Oryzias latipes: one gene and its partners. The protein of the gene in region 2 binds, or shares a complex with, the protein of the main gene of each other region. Links are inferred from orthologs where the notes say so. Each region holds a gene or a part of one and is shown on either strand. Other genes may lie near its edges.

Region 1 (4,147 bases), on a different chromosome or scaffold from region 2:
TCAGCACATCAATAAACATGAAACAGCAAAAAGTGCACATTAAAACCAGACAAATCCATCGGTTTTTGGTGATAATTTACTTTTATTAAGCTGTTTTTCTCACTGAGATGTGGCCATGATGCTGGAAACACCTGCAGACAAAACAAACAGCAGGAGAACTTCTTCAGACGGGAGACGAAACACGTGAAACCTGGAAGGTTCTGCTTCGTCTCGGCGGAGATCTCCAGAAATAAAAGCTGGACTTACTCTCAAAGTCGATCTTCTCCACAATGTTCTTGGGCTTGATGCTCTCCTCCTGGTTGTAGATGAAGATCTGCCCGTCCTCGTTCTCCGTCCAGCCGTATTTGTTCATCCACACCTTCACCTGCGTGTCTGCAGCAGGAAGCGGAAGCAGCTTCAACACCTCCGACCGTCGCCAACGGCGGATCAACCGGCGGATCTGGTGGATCGGTTCTTACCCAGCGGGTCTCCCAGCATCTCAGCCAGTAACCGGTGGTCAATGGTCTGGTAGGTGATGCCCACCACATGGCAGATGACTGCAGAGGAGGAGGAAGACGCTCAGAGACGTGTCTCCTTCGGGTCAGAGCCGTCGTCGTCTCCTGTAAGGCGATACTCACACTTGCGAACGGAGTCCTCGAAACCGGCGATGCCGTCAATGAGCTCCCGGTTCTCCTCCAGACTCGTCTGACAGGAGAGAAGAGCCAGAGAAAAGTTTCATTTCTTCACAGACTCCAAAGTCTGGAGATCTGATCCGAGAACACGATCTGCACCGCACCCAAAAGCTCTGGAAGTGGCAGGTCTCCAGCAGGTTCCCCAGGTAGAGGATCTGCCTGATGGGGCGCTCCTCTTGCTGCGACACTGTAGTCAAGGAAACACTCCCCCCCATCCCAGGTCAACCTAAGAATTATTCACTTTTAACCAACCAGCTAGTTATTCTCCAGAAATGAGACCTCGCTGTTAAAAAGCTAAAAGAAAAACCTCAGCTTTTATTCACATTTGAAAAAAAAAAGTGGCCAAAGTTAACAACAGTAACGGGGTTGACTCTGATTGTTATATTGGTACTACAGACCCCCTCCAATGAAAATGGAGTTCCTGGTGTCCACCAGAAGACTCTCCACCACAAAGACCCACTCCAATGTTTCTAACATGTTTTTCTGACGACGAATAATAAGAAAATGAAGCTCAAAACTGCATTTCTGAGTATTTCTTTCTTTAAATCGTCGTGAATCAGGAAAAATGCCGTTTGTTGAAGATCATAAACAGAAACTATGCCAGAAGAAAACAACAGTGTTTTTTTTATTTTGGCTGAAAAAGTTATAATCATAATTAAAAAAACCACTGGGAACGCTTTGAGAATAGATCAGAAGATGATCGGAGTGGGACTTTAAACTGACAGAAACACTAAAAACCTTAGAAGATAACGAAGCAGAAGCTGGTCTGATCTCAGACTGAAGAGCAACAAAAGGATACGTGTGTCTGGTCGATCATGCACTTGCAGAGAGTGAAGTCTGTGTGCGGCAGGTTGGTGAGCGCCTTGAGCAGAATCTGCGCGGTCACCGGAGTCTGGAAGTAAGCTGGGTTGAACTGGTACCTGCGGGTTCAAAGGGGAATCTGTCATCTCACGACGGGAAACCCGAGCGTCGCACCGACCCGAACGCAGCGGCAGCTTACAGCTTCAGCACGGCCAGGTTGGCCTCCAGGTCGTAGGCGTTCTCCCTGGCCTGCGTGTCCACGTACTGCTCCAGTGTGACGAGGTTTTCTGGGTTGTACCTGTGAAGATGCACAGAAGCTGGGAGTTTACAAGCCATAACTGCTGCTACTGTAAGGAACGTTGGTCCTCTGGGATGTTTTTCATGCATTTTTACGAGAAAGTCAGCCCACAGATGTGCAATAAAAAGGGGTTAAATCCCCCAAACAAAGAGACCTTCACAGCATCAAAACAGAAATCAAACTTAGTTTAAGGCCCAGCGGGTTCTACATTTTTGATTCACCAGTTCATTATTTTTTTAATAGTTTAGTGGTAGAAAACCGTTTCAAAATAAAACTAAAAAAATTAACTTTTTATGATTTAAAAGCTGTATTACATTAAAAAATATTAATGCTATTGATTTTTTTATTATTATGGTGGAATTAAATTGCATTATTATATTTCAAATCAGACCTTTAGTTTATCTGTACGGACATTATTTAAAAGACAACTCACATCTGTCTAAGTTGATCAGTCATCACAAAGCAACAACATACAGATCGATATGATCATCTTAATGCATCCATAGCATAATTAATTTACCTAAATGAATCTGTTTCTGCACTTAATACTTTCTGATGTTCAGTTTCTTTATGATTATTAAGAGTAACTTTACCTCTAAATTAGGGTCTATTAATAATTAACTTAAGTATTTGGTTCCGGTCAAGATCCTGAAAGTAAAGCCAATCTATTATGGCATTTACATTTAAAAAATAAATGTAAAACATTTTTTTACGCAAATGACATTGATAAAACAACTTCAATTTAAAGAAATTAATTGAAAGTTTTTAATTTCGACGAGTCTCTCAAACGTTAGCAAACAAGAAGCTAAGCTAGCCCTCGCGCCCGTTTTCCTCTTCTCTCTCGTTGGATTCATACCTGTCGATCCCCCGTAAGAGTCTCCCTACTGTCGCCCTCATCTGCTCGAACGACGAAGCCATCTCTCCAGATGTTTAACAAAATACTTTCAGGTAAAAAACAGATGTATCTTTGCACGTGCACCGCTAAAAGAGAAAAAGACCCAAGCCGGAAGGGAAAAGAGGTCGGACCGGAAGCATGAACTGAGTAAATGCGAGAGAACCGGGTTTACCAAAATAAAAGTCCGTACACAAGTTTGACTTTTTTTCTGGTCTGATTTTCTACTTGAGGGAGACAAATCAAAAGTTTCTTTTAAATTGATGGCATTACTTCCAACCCTTAAACAAATCATAAAAAAGATTTGTATTTCATTACTGCCACTTTGAAACTACCAGTGTATTCAATTTTGAGAATCTAAAAAGTTTTGTGCATTTTATGGATTCTGTAAGGTTGTTATTTGCTGCATTTTGGAAAAGGAAACCTTTTTTTATAAAATATATTTTTTGACTGACTTCCCCACTCTTTGAAACAATACACATTTAGGTCCATTATAGATATGGTGCTTCTCAATAAGCAGCAACTCACACTACTGTGCAGATGGAGCCAAGACAGACCTTCAGGTTCCAAAAAATTGAGTTTCTTTGGCCTTGATGACCTTGTCTTTTGCAGAGAACATTTAGTCTGGCCTCAAAGGCCTTTCAGAGAGGAGATGAGTAATGCATAAAAAATAAAATAAAAGTTCCACCCTCTTGGCTTTGCTGTTGAAGCGTTGTGACTGTAAACACTGCTCTGAAAATAGACCTTTGTGAGATGTCAGCCACTTCATCTGTGTATTCATTTTGTGTTGTTTTAATCTCTACATTTCTAGAAAACAAAGAAGAAAAACTGAAAAACTTGTCATTCAACCTTTCAGTTTAGTTACATGAAAAGGTTTTTTTTTTCTCTCAGACATAATTTTGTTTTCTAAAACTGTCTTTTAGTGTTTTTGGTTACATTTAGAAGGGAAAAAATATAAATCTAACTTTTAAAAATTGTGTTAAGAATAAGACGCAACATGTTGGCCACATCAAAATAAAGAGAAGTCTGAAAAGATGCAAAACTATCAAACACCTTCTTTCAGTAATATTTCCTTCTTTTCTTTTTAAATCCTTCTACAACGAAAGCTTTTTTCTCAAAACGGAAGAAATTAAGTTAAACTAAAAAATTTGAAACGTCCGAACGGGGTCTTGAACCAGCGACCTCATGCACCAACACTTCCCTGTGTATTTCAATGGAGATAAATCCTTGAAAATCCTGGAATATCTTGAAAAGTTGAAGGATTTGAAAAACCAAAAGCCATAGCAGGAATAAGCTGAAAGAGCTGAACATTTTAATAGTTGAATGGTTAAAAATAGTTGAAAATTGTAGAAGGGGTTAACTGCCGAAAAACGGCGGAAGATGAGCGCAATAAATAAAGAGAAACAGGAAAACAAAACAATAAAACTAAAAGAATGAAAAGAGAGCCAAAAAATTTAAATAGTCACAAAAAAAAACTGTCATTCA
Region 2 (4,300 bases):
TGTGAATGAATAGCAGGAACAGACTCATCATGGAAAATGCAAGAAGAAATGCAGATGACACAGCTTTCAAGTTAAAAGCAGTGTGAAAAAATCCACCATCACCAACGGGTTTGGAAAAGCCGGTCTGCTGCGTGACGGAGAGGACAGAGCAAGAACAGGAGACAATTTACCTCAGAGTGACACTGATGACAATGAAGGAGAGAGAGAGTGGTGAAGAATATCTGACGCTATTCCAATCCCACACTGAGGAGGAAGACTTCCATGGTTTCAGTATTTACTGCTGCTCTCAGTGACTTTTACTGGTATGTTTTTTTTAACCAGCCCTGTTAGTGCTGTTACTACTATATTGTTGCCGCGTCACATGTACTGTTTGGAATAGAGCTGTGACGGTGTGGGACTTTTCATCACCGCAGTGATGAAGCAGCAGGAGTTGCGGTGTCGTGGTTTGGCCCTCCGCTACAAAAACTGTGAGAACCCCAGCTCTTGGATGTTGGGTTCTTCCAGGCTGAAAACGTTTCTCTCCGTTCTGATGGAGACCACGCTAATGTGGATCAACTCTTCCTGCTGAAGGTGCGTTTGTGGCTTCACGACTGACTGACGTTCGGCTCAGACTCACCTGGCCTCAAACTTGCCGATCCTGGTGGAGGTGGTGGTAACGTCCATGGCTTCCTGTCCTCCTCCCATCACAACCTGAGAGGAAATGTGCGTCACTGACCTGCATCCACCTGATCTCTTTCAAACTTGGAGGAGGGGTTCTTACGTGGTCTTTGATGGGGGAGATGGCAGCAGAGTTGACCGGCCTCTCTGTCCTGAAGGTTTTGATGTTTTCTAGAGAGGTGGAGTCAAACAGCTAAAAGAAACAAACATTCAGAGTTGATTTGAGATTCCTCAGAACAGTCACTTCAGCAGCGGAGCGGTCGTTACTTTGGCAGAGTTATCCTTGGAGGCGGTGATGACCATGGTCAGATCCACCGAGGACTGGATGTCATTGATCTGTTTGGTGTGCTCCTTGACCTTCTTCAGGGCCTCTCCAGACTGCTCACAGGGAAACGGCACATGAACCAGTTTCACTTCAGAAAGAATCCACACACAGGTCTGAAGGCTCTAACCTTAGCGCTGAACTGGCTGATCTCGCCGTTCTCATGGCCAGCGATGACAAATTCGCCCAGCGGCCCCCACACCGCGCTGGTTATCTTCGATTCGTTGCAGGGTACGGACAAGTACGGGTTGTTGTCCTCTGCAGACAGAATGCTTCAGTCATGATTCATTACTTTCCTAGCAGCTTTTCAGAAGCTGAACATCCAGCTTCACTGTGGAGGGGGATGAAGACGCAGCAAACTAACGGGGACGTCAAACTCCAGGCTCCTGCTAACTTCACATACCTATCTGCTGTGGGTCCCTCAGGTCAAAGAAGTTCAGGTAGCACTGGTAACCCATCTGCTTGTCAGTAGAGAACATGATGATGTTCCCGCTGAAGTCGAACCCACATGTCCTGACGGCAGAGCTGGTGTTGAGCAGCGCCAGCTGTTTACCTGTGAGCAGGAGACACGGTTCTGTTTGAATGTGAGCTCATAGAACTGGCTCACACCACAGACCCATTTGGATTTTACGGACCGGTCTCGCAGTCCCACAGCCGGCAGCTGTTGTCTGCTGATCCTGTTAGAACGTTCTTCGTGTCCCCTGAGAAGGCGTGTTAAGAAACTGCCCGCGGCCTCAGGAGTTAGCATGCACACCATTCATCCTCACAGGAGGAAGGATACAGTCGCAGTCCACGCACCATACCGCCCCCGTGTGTCCGTTGTACGTGCCGAGCCTCTCGCCGTTTACGGAGTACCACGCATTTGCAACCTGCAGGGACACAAGTCAGTGAGTCCGAAACACCTGGAGATGGGGGGGGTGGCGGGGGGTGAGGGCTCACCGTGTCTTTAGCTACAGAGAAGAGCAGGTCGCCCTCTCTGTTGTACTTGATTTGAGTGATGGACCTCTCGTGGCCCTGCAGCAGGATGGGTTTCTGCCAGGAAACGTCACAAAACCTTTAGTTTGAGCGTTAGACAGTCTGCACAGCAGCACCACAAAGGTTAACCTTCATATCTTTAGTAACCAATCAAAAACAATTGCCAGCTGATCAACCAGCCTGCAGGAAAACAGTCACATCCCTTTGTTTGTTTTCAGACCCATGAACATATTTAAGTCCTTCAGTCCCAGAATCTAACTATGACGTCATCAACAGGGAGATATAATGTGGTCTTCAGTAAAAACAAATCCAAGAAACCCTTATTTTTCTAATAAAAACTATTAATTGGTTCAGTTTCTGAGATTTTGGCTGAACTTGTATTGATATTTAATAGTTCATGACATTTGGTCTAATTATTGCAGTTTAGGGTAAATTGTTTGATTTATTGGTGCTTTTTGTAGTTTATAATCTTTTAGTTTTTTAAAATTGTACAAAATCATCAGTTACAGCGCGTAAACCTCCGATTTTGGCCTAAAATAAAAACATTCTAAAGAAATAAAAATGATTTCTATTCTTTCTCAGCCTCACCGACAGCATGAGTGCTGCTAGCAAGCACGACACCGGCTAACTGCGGAGCTAAGCTAACCAGAGGCCAAATACAAAGCAAACATGGCCGAAACACAACAAAGCTTCAGAAAAGCCACAACTGACCATTTCTGTCAGCCACACGGCCCCAGTAAGTCCGACAAGAGGTACTTAGCTTCAGACGAAAAGAGGAAAGGGGGACTCTCGTGTTTTCAGGCGCCCTGGAATTGCACCGGAAAAGGAATGCTTGTGTCACTAACCAAAGAACTTCCGGTAGACACGTCGCCCCCTGGCGGCGTTACCAATAATGACAACCAACACGACTATCTGGACGAGAAGAGCAGCACACCTTTATCATTCTCTGCGGGAGTGTCACGTGTAACATTTTCCATGGCTTTAATTTTTGATATATTTTTACTTTTTATCTTCTTTAAAAGGATTTTGAACAGAAAACCAAACACAGGGAAAATCCAGAAGAGCTTCTGTGTGAAATCTGAACCAACACTTTGATGCTTCGTGTTTTCATGACTTGTTAAAAACACAAACAGAAAAGAAATGTCACATTCTAGGCCACTTAAATGTTCAATGTTCCTCAAGAGTCACAGTGTACATTTTGAGAACAAACGTAGGCTACATTTGAATAAAATATACTAACCCTAATTTACGTTACAATTTTTTTTCCGTAAATTTACGGCTTTAAAGTGAAACCTGTTTGTGTTTGTAAACTGAATACCGTCATAGTTACCAAATTTTAAAAATACTTTTTTGCAACAGCTGCTGTTTTACGTTTTCATTTTCGTCCTTTTTGTGTGTCCAGCGTTTTCTTTGGCAATAACAGTTAAAAAGTTTTAAAAAATTGTCAATACAGTTGACATTTTTGCGTGATACAGATACTGCCATGTTGGAACCAGACATCGTCAGTAAACAGTAGGTCCAAGTCAATCTGAGTCAATGTTTCTATAGCAACCACTTAAAATTTAGCCTGTTGGAAGGCCACGCCCCTTCCACTTGAAAGCCGGCTAGACAAAAGGTCGTGTTTGGGATAAACCAGCGCCTCGCCTGGATCGTCAACGAGACCAGTCGGCTGCATGCGGGGAAAGGCGTCTGGGATGAAGGTGAACCACAGACTGTAAAAGCATTGGACGAATGGCGTTGTGACATCACCCATAGGAAAAGCCGTACCTCCGGCTCTCACGAAAGGAGGCCACATCCCTCACCATTGCTACCTGATACGAGCGCCGCCATGTTGAAACCAGTCGACAGTGGTTGGTCCGATTCTCTCCGAGTCATCGTATCTATGGCAATGGTGACAGTGGTTGCCATAGATACAATGACTCAGAGCGACTCGGACTGTCGACTGGTTACAACATAGTGGCCACTGTATCAGGTAGCAATGGTACTTCCTATTTGGGAACATGAGAAGGAAGGGGTTGAGACCATTGAGTTCTATCGCTAGAGGAGACATCACGGGGTTCCACATAGGAGGAGAGCACCGCCATCTTGGTGAGGTCAAGTCACTGCAGCACTGCATGCATGTGAACACATTTTTTGCAAAATGCCAGTTCATTGTGCGGGTTTCAACTCCCAGAATCAGAGAAATGAGTCCATGAAGGAGGAAGGCAGAACATTTCACAGGTAGGTACTATAATTTTTTTCTTTTAATGCTGCAGGGGCTTCATTAATAAAACACAGGTTTTTTTTTTAATAGTACACATGTTAACATGCATGATGCTGCAGGGCTATTATCAACATGTAGGGATG
Region 3 (4,065 bases), on a different chromosome or scaffold from region 2:
AGAAATCAATCAAAAAACCTTAAAATTAATAAAACTGCAACGATATTTCTGAATTCATTCTCTTTATTGAAGCAATAGCCACATTTTACCACAATAGAATCTGGCATCTTTCTAGAAATCCGTTTGAACTCAGTTGTTTGAAGGCCTGTAAAGAGAATAAACAATGTTAGCACCAGTTTTAAAGCAATGTTTTAACACAAATACTTGAATGGGAGAAGAAGCTTACTTGGCCCATTCAACATTAAGAATAAGATGGTCATATCCAAATCCTGAGACCCCCGCGATGGCTCTGGCGGCATCCTCCCGACGATGGAAACTGATGAAGGCAAACCCCTGCAGGAAATGAGATGCAGCGTTAACTGGAGCGCGTCATTCGCTCATGAGAGCACACATCAACTGTCTATCGACATATTAATATCAGATGCAGACAGAAGGCAGCTCTCACCAAAAAGATCTTTTTGGCTTATATAAGTTAGGGTTAATAGTTGTGATTACAAACAGAACCATGATTGGGTTAAAGTAACCTATTTTCAGTTGAAACAAGCCTTCATAACTGATCTGTACTGCTTTTTTTGAAATGGCCTCTAACCTTGGACTGCCCTGTATTCTTATCCTTGGCCAGATAAATCCTTGAGATGGAGCCAAACGGTCTGAAGAGTTCCTGCAGGTCCGTCTCACGGGTGTCCTCCGACAGGTTGGTCACACGAATGGTTGCATTGTCATCAGCTGTGCAATCACATACAATTTCAAGGGATAAAGTTTTGCTGCTGAAAATAATTGTACATGTTTTGCCCTGAAGCCTCACCTCTGCGGTTGGGCTGCATGGACTCTCCTCTTCCCCGGCCTCCATCCCTCAGACTTGGAGGAACGTACTTCCCCGTCTTGCTTTGGGCGGGCTGAGCAGGCTCTGGTTCCGCTAAGGAAAGTAAGAGGAAGCAGGAGTCACTGGTGAGGTGTTTAGAAAAAAAAAATTCTCAAATAGTGTTTCTGAGAATAAAGAGCAAATGCTACCGGCGCCAGCGGGCTTTTCCTTGTCTCCGGTAGACAGTCCAAGCTGCTCAGCCAGCTCTTTCTGCATGGGGCCCAGGGTGTCCTTGTATGGACAGCGGGTGGTCCAGTGGTCGCCTTTACAAATACGACAGGACACAATCTTCTGTCCCTTTAGCTTGTTCATGGGATCCTCATCCTGGTCTTGAGCATTCAAATCCTGCAAAAAGCAAAATTAGTAAATCCACAAGGAAAGTTGGTTCACAACAATTAAGCAGAAAATAATATTTAATGCAAGTTATTACCTCTTTGCTGGAGATGAAAGTCATGAAGACATCATCACTGACTGTGGTGGTGGCAACATTTGGGCCAGGAGCATCAAACTCAGAGTTGCCAAACTTTTTCCAGTTCTGAAAAGAGTAAACTCACTGTTGCACAACAACCAATCCCACAAAAGTAATCCCAGTTTAAACACAACTCCACAAACCTTCCTCCTGGCAACGGCTTTTGATGCTTTCCTCGTCTCAATCTTAAAAGTCCGTACAATCTACAGAGATTGAAAAAGAATCCATGAAATAATTCAGTTGAAGCAGGTCATCACTTTAACCACTGTGGACATGCTGTTTACCTTATATTTCTTTCCATCTTCCTCGTCGATTTTATACTCTGTGATAGTTTTGATATTACCTCTAATCGTCTCCTTTGGGGAGGGAAGTGTGGCTGTCAATGACACAAAAACAAGTAGACAAATGAATTACAGCCTAAAAATTCTTAGAAGATATTTTAGGTCATTTAATTTTTTCAACTGGGTCTAAACAAAAAAATTAGTTCACAAAGCAGCTAATAAGTAATATGTTAATTTGTAACGAATCTTTGTATTGCGGTTTTTGTTTTTGGGTTGTGGTGATGCTAACATGTTTTATGAAAACAACAGAAGTAAATTTTGTATGCGTTTATAATGATTTATTAATTTAAAACCTAACAAGTAGAGGGCACAATAATATTTGGATGAATGGGCTACTTTTATCAAAATATTGTTAATAAGTTGTATTGCGCGTTTAACATAATTAATTACAAATATTTTGTATCTATAATTTGTGTACAGATGTTCCAACTACATTTTATCATTAAATTACATTGAATTACATGTTGAATTCACTACACACAACTGTCCCAATTTTTAACGGGATTTGCCAAAAGTCTCGGGACGGACATGAATTAAATGCGAGCCAAACACGAATATTTTGAATATTTGACATACTGCAAAATAATTAATTTGAGAGCAGTTACCGTCTCCTAACCTAACGGAGCTTGTTAGCTGCAAGCTTTTATGTTAGCCACATCGATGCTATTTTGACAACAGAAAATTTGCGCCAACAACCGTCCAACATGACATTTCTCTAAAACCTATTTCTTTTAAAATAAAAACAATTTTAACACGTGTATACGCAACGTTTTTCCCTGGATATATTTATTTTAAAAAGCAGACGAACACGTGGACATGAAGCCGGGTTAGCCGGCCTCCTTGAACCAAGCAGTGTTACCATAAATTAGCTTCAATGCTAACAGCTTTCTTTCTTACTTTCATCTACTTCCTCCTCGACTTGGTCGGCCCAGCTGGGCTTAGAGCTAAAATACAGAGAAGATAATCAACATTAAACCAGTAAAAAAGACATTTGTGACATATAAACACTGATGGAAAATCTAAATGACACTCACTCGTCGTACTCCACCGACGGCATCCTGCGTGTTAGCTTAGCTCGAGAAGGACCGAGCCGCGCCGAGAGCAGGTCGCTTCCGGAACTTAAACTTCAAAATAATAGCATAATAATAATAATAATAATAATAATAATAATAATAATAATAATAATAATAATAATAATAATAAAAGAAAAAACTTTTTCGCTACATGCATGGCACAAATCGGATTATAATCTGTTTTTTTTAATTGCCATCTGAATCTGATCAGTTATTGTCTGGTGATTGTAGTTCTCTGATTTTTCTAATTAAAAACAGATTTCTATTCGATAATTTGACATTTTCCTATGCGTTTATATACATTTTTATAAAGTGTTGAAATTTAATAAAAGCTACATAAAGAATAATTTATTAAAAAAAGACAATGAACAGATGATTGGCATTTAAACAAAAGACTTCAGAAGCGTGTAGTCTTTTATACACCTTAAAGCTCTGTTGGGCAACTCTGACAAGAATCAAACTGGATTATTATTTGTTATCTAAAGTTTGGATTCGTTTTGGGTTTTCTTCAAGTTGATAGATTTGTGCAATCGTGCATTGTTTCACATTTTTTTCCTACCAAATAGGTTTAGCCATCAGGCAATAAGTTTAGAATTTGACATACATTTTTGAGATAGTTGTAGCAGAACCACATCATATTTCATTTAACAATTTGATAAAATAAGTTGAATTTATCAACCTAAAATCAATTCAGACCACACTAGAAATTGTGTAAATGAAATAATTATTTATTCACTTACTTACAAAATCTATATGACAAAAAGAGAGGGATTTGAAGCAAGTTTGTTTTGTTCAGATGGAATTTATTTATTCTTTTAATCACTGATTCAACTATTTTAGAAACACATAATATATTAATTATGAAAAACTTTTACCTGAACATCTAATAACAAGTAAGAAATGATTGCACAAACAGCTTCATAACACAGAAACAGTTTATTTTAGACAGGTATGAACAGAAAAAGAAAAACGATTTGATGCATAACATGTGAGTGTCAAAGTTCAACATATGGAAGGCAAAAATATTAAAGAGTGTATATAAACTGTTATTGCAGATAAAACCTATAATTTACTCTTCCAGTCAGATAGAAAGTATTTTTTTTGACAAAAGCCACCAAAGCAGTACTTTCCCTGTCAATCAAAAACCCAACTAAAGTGTAATAGAACAAGAGACATTAAAACAATGGACACAAAACTGTATAAAAACATAGATTCAACAATAGAAAAGCATCATAAGCTATTGCAAGCCAGAGAGAGAGAGAAGGGTTCAGCTGTAAAGACATAAAGGGCTTCTTATTCCTGCATTCTGTCGTCTGAATC

What was found. The genes of interacting proteins can lie anywhere in the genome.
Region 1: eif3i (region 2) and eif3k share a complex: the UniProt entries of both Homo sapiens proteins name them as parts of the eukaryotic translation initiation factor 3 (eIF-3) complex. The link is inferred for Oryzias latipes from reciprocal best matches to the Homo sapiens genes EIF3I and EIF3K.
Region 3: eif3i (region 2) and eif3g share a complex: the UniProt entries of both Homo sapiens proteins name them as parts of the eukaryotic translation initiation factor 3 (eIF-3) complex. The link is inferred for Oryzias latipes from reciprocal best matches to the Homo sapiens genes EIF3I and EIF3G.

The regions. Positions count from the first base shown.
Region 1 is NC_019871.2:2,896,863-2,901,009, forward strand, and holds the start of eif3k (eukaryotic translation initiation factor 3 subunit K), read right to left. Parts: upstream 2,806-4,147; 5' UTR 2,689-2,805; coding exon 2,627-2,688; intron 1,771-2,626; coding exon 1,672-1,770; intron 1,592-1,671; coding exon 1,471-1,591; intron 854-1,470; coding exon 776-853; intron 685-775; coding exon 618-684; intron 537-617; coding exon 459-536; intron 373-458; coding exon 247-372; intron 132-246; coding exon 100-131; 3' UTR 81-99; exon of another isoform or gene 61-80; intron 1-60. UniProt on the Homo sapiens protein: Component of the eukaryotic translation initiation factor 3 (eIF-3) complex, which is required for several steps in the initiation of protein synthesis.
Region 2 is NC_019869.2:26,646,287-26,650,586, reverse strand, and holds the start of eif3i (eukaryotic translation initiation factor 3 subunit I), read right to left. Parts: upstream 2,807-4,300; 5' UTR 2,669-2,806; coding exon 2,666-2,668; intron 2,012-2,665; coding exon 1,919-2,011; intron 1,849-1,918; coding exon 1,761-1,848; intron 1,681-1,760; coding exon 1,615-1,680; intron 1,533-1,614; coding exon 1,383-1,532; intron 1,238-1,382; coding exon 1,110-1,237; intron 1,036-1,109; coding exon 925-1,035; intron 851-924; coding exon 761-850; intron 691-760; coding exon 617-690; intron 1-616. UniProt on the Homo sapiens protein: Component of the eukaryotic translation initiation factor 3 (eIF-3) complex, which is required for several steps in the initiation of protein synthesis.
Region 3 is NC_019866.2:8,456,723-8,460,787, forward strand, and holds eif3g (eukaryotic translation initiation factor 3 subunit G), read right to left. Parts: upstream 2,806-4,065; 5' UTR 2,730-2,805; coding exon 2,707-2,729; intron 2,617-2,706; coding exon 2,570-2,616; intron 1,708-2,569; coding exon 1,616-1,707; intron 1,535-1,615; coding exon 1,475-1,534; intron 1,398-1,474; coding exon 1,293-1,397; intron 1,208-1,292; coding exon 1,012-1,207; intron 917-1,011; coding exon 806-916; intron 727-805; coding exon 590-726; intron 334-589; coding exon 227-333; intron 146-226; coding exon 130-145; 3' UTR 46-129; downstream 1-45. Other genes in the region: suppressor of SWI4 1 homolog, read right to left, coding at 4,039-4,065. UniProt on the Homo sapiens protein: RNA-binding component of the eukaryotic translation initiation factor 3 (eIF-3) complex, which is required for several steps in the initiation of protein synthesis.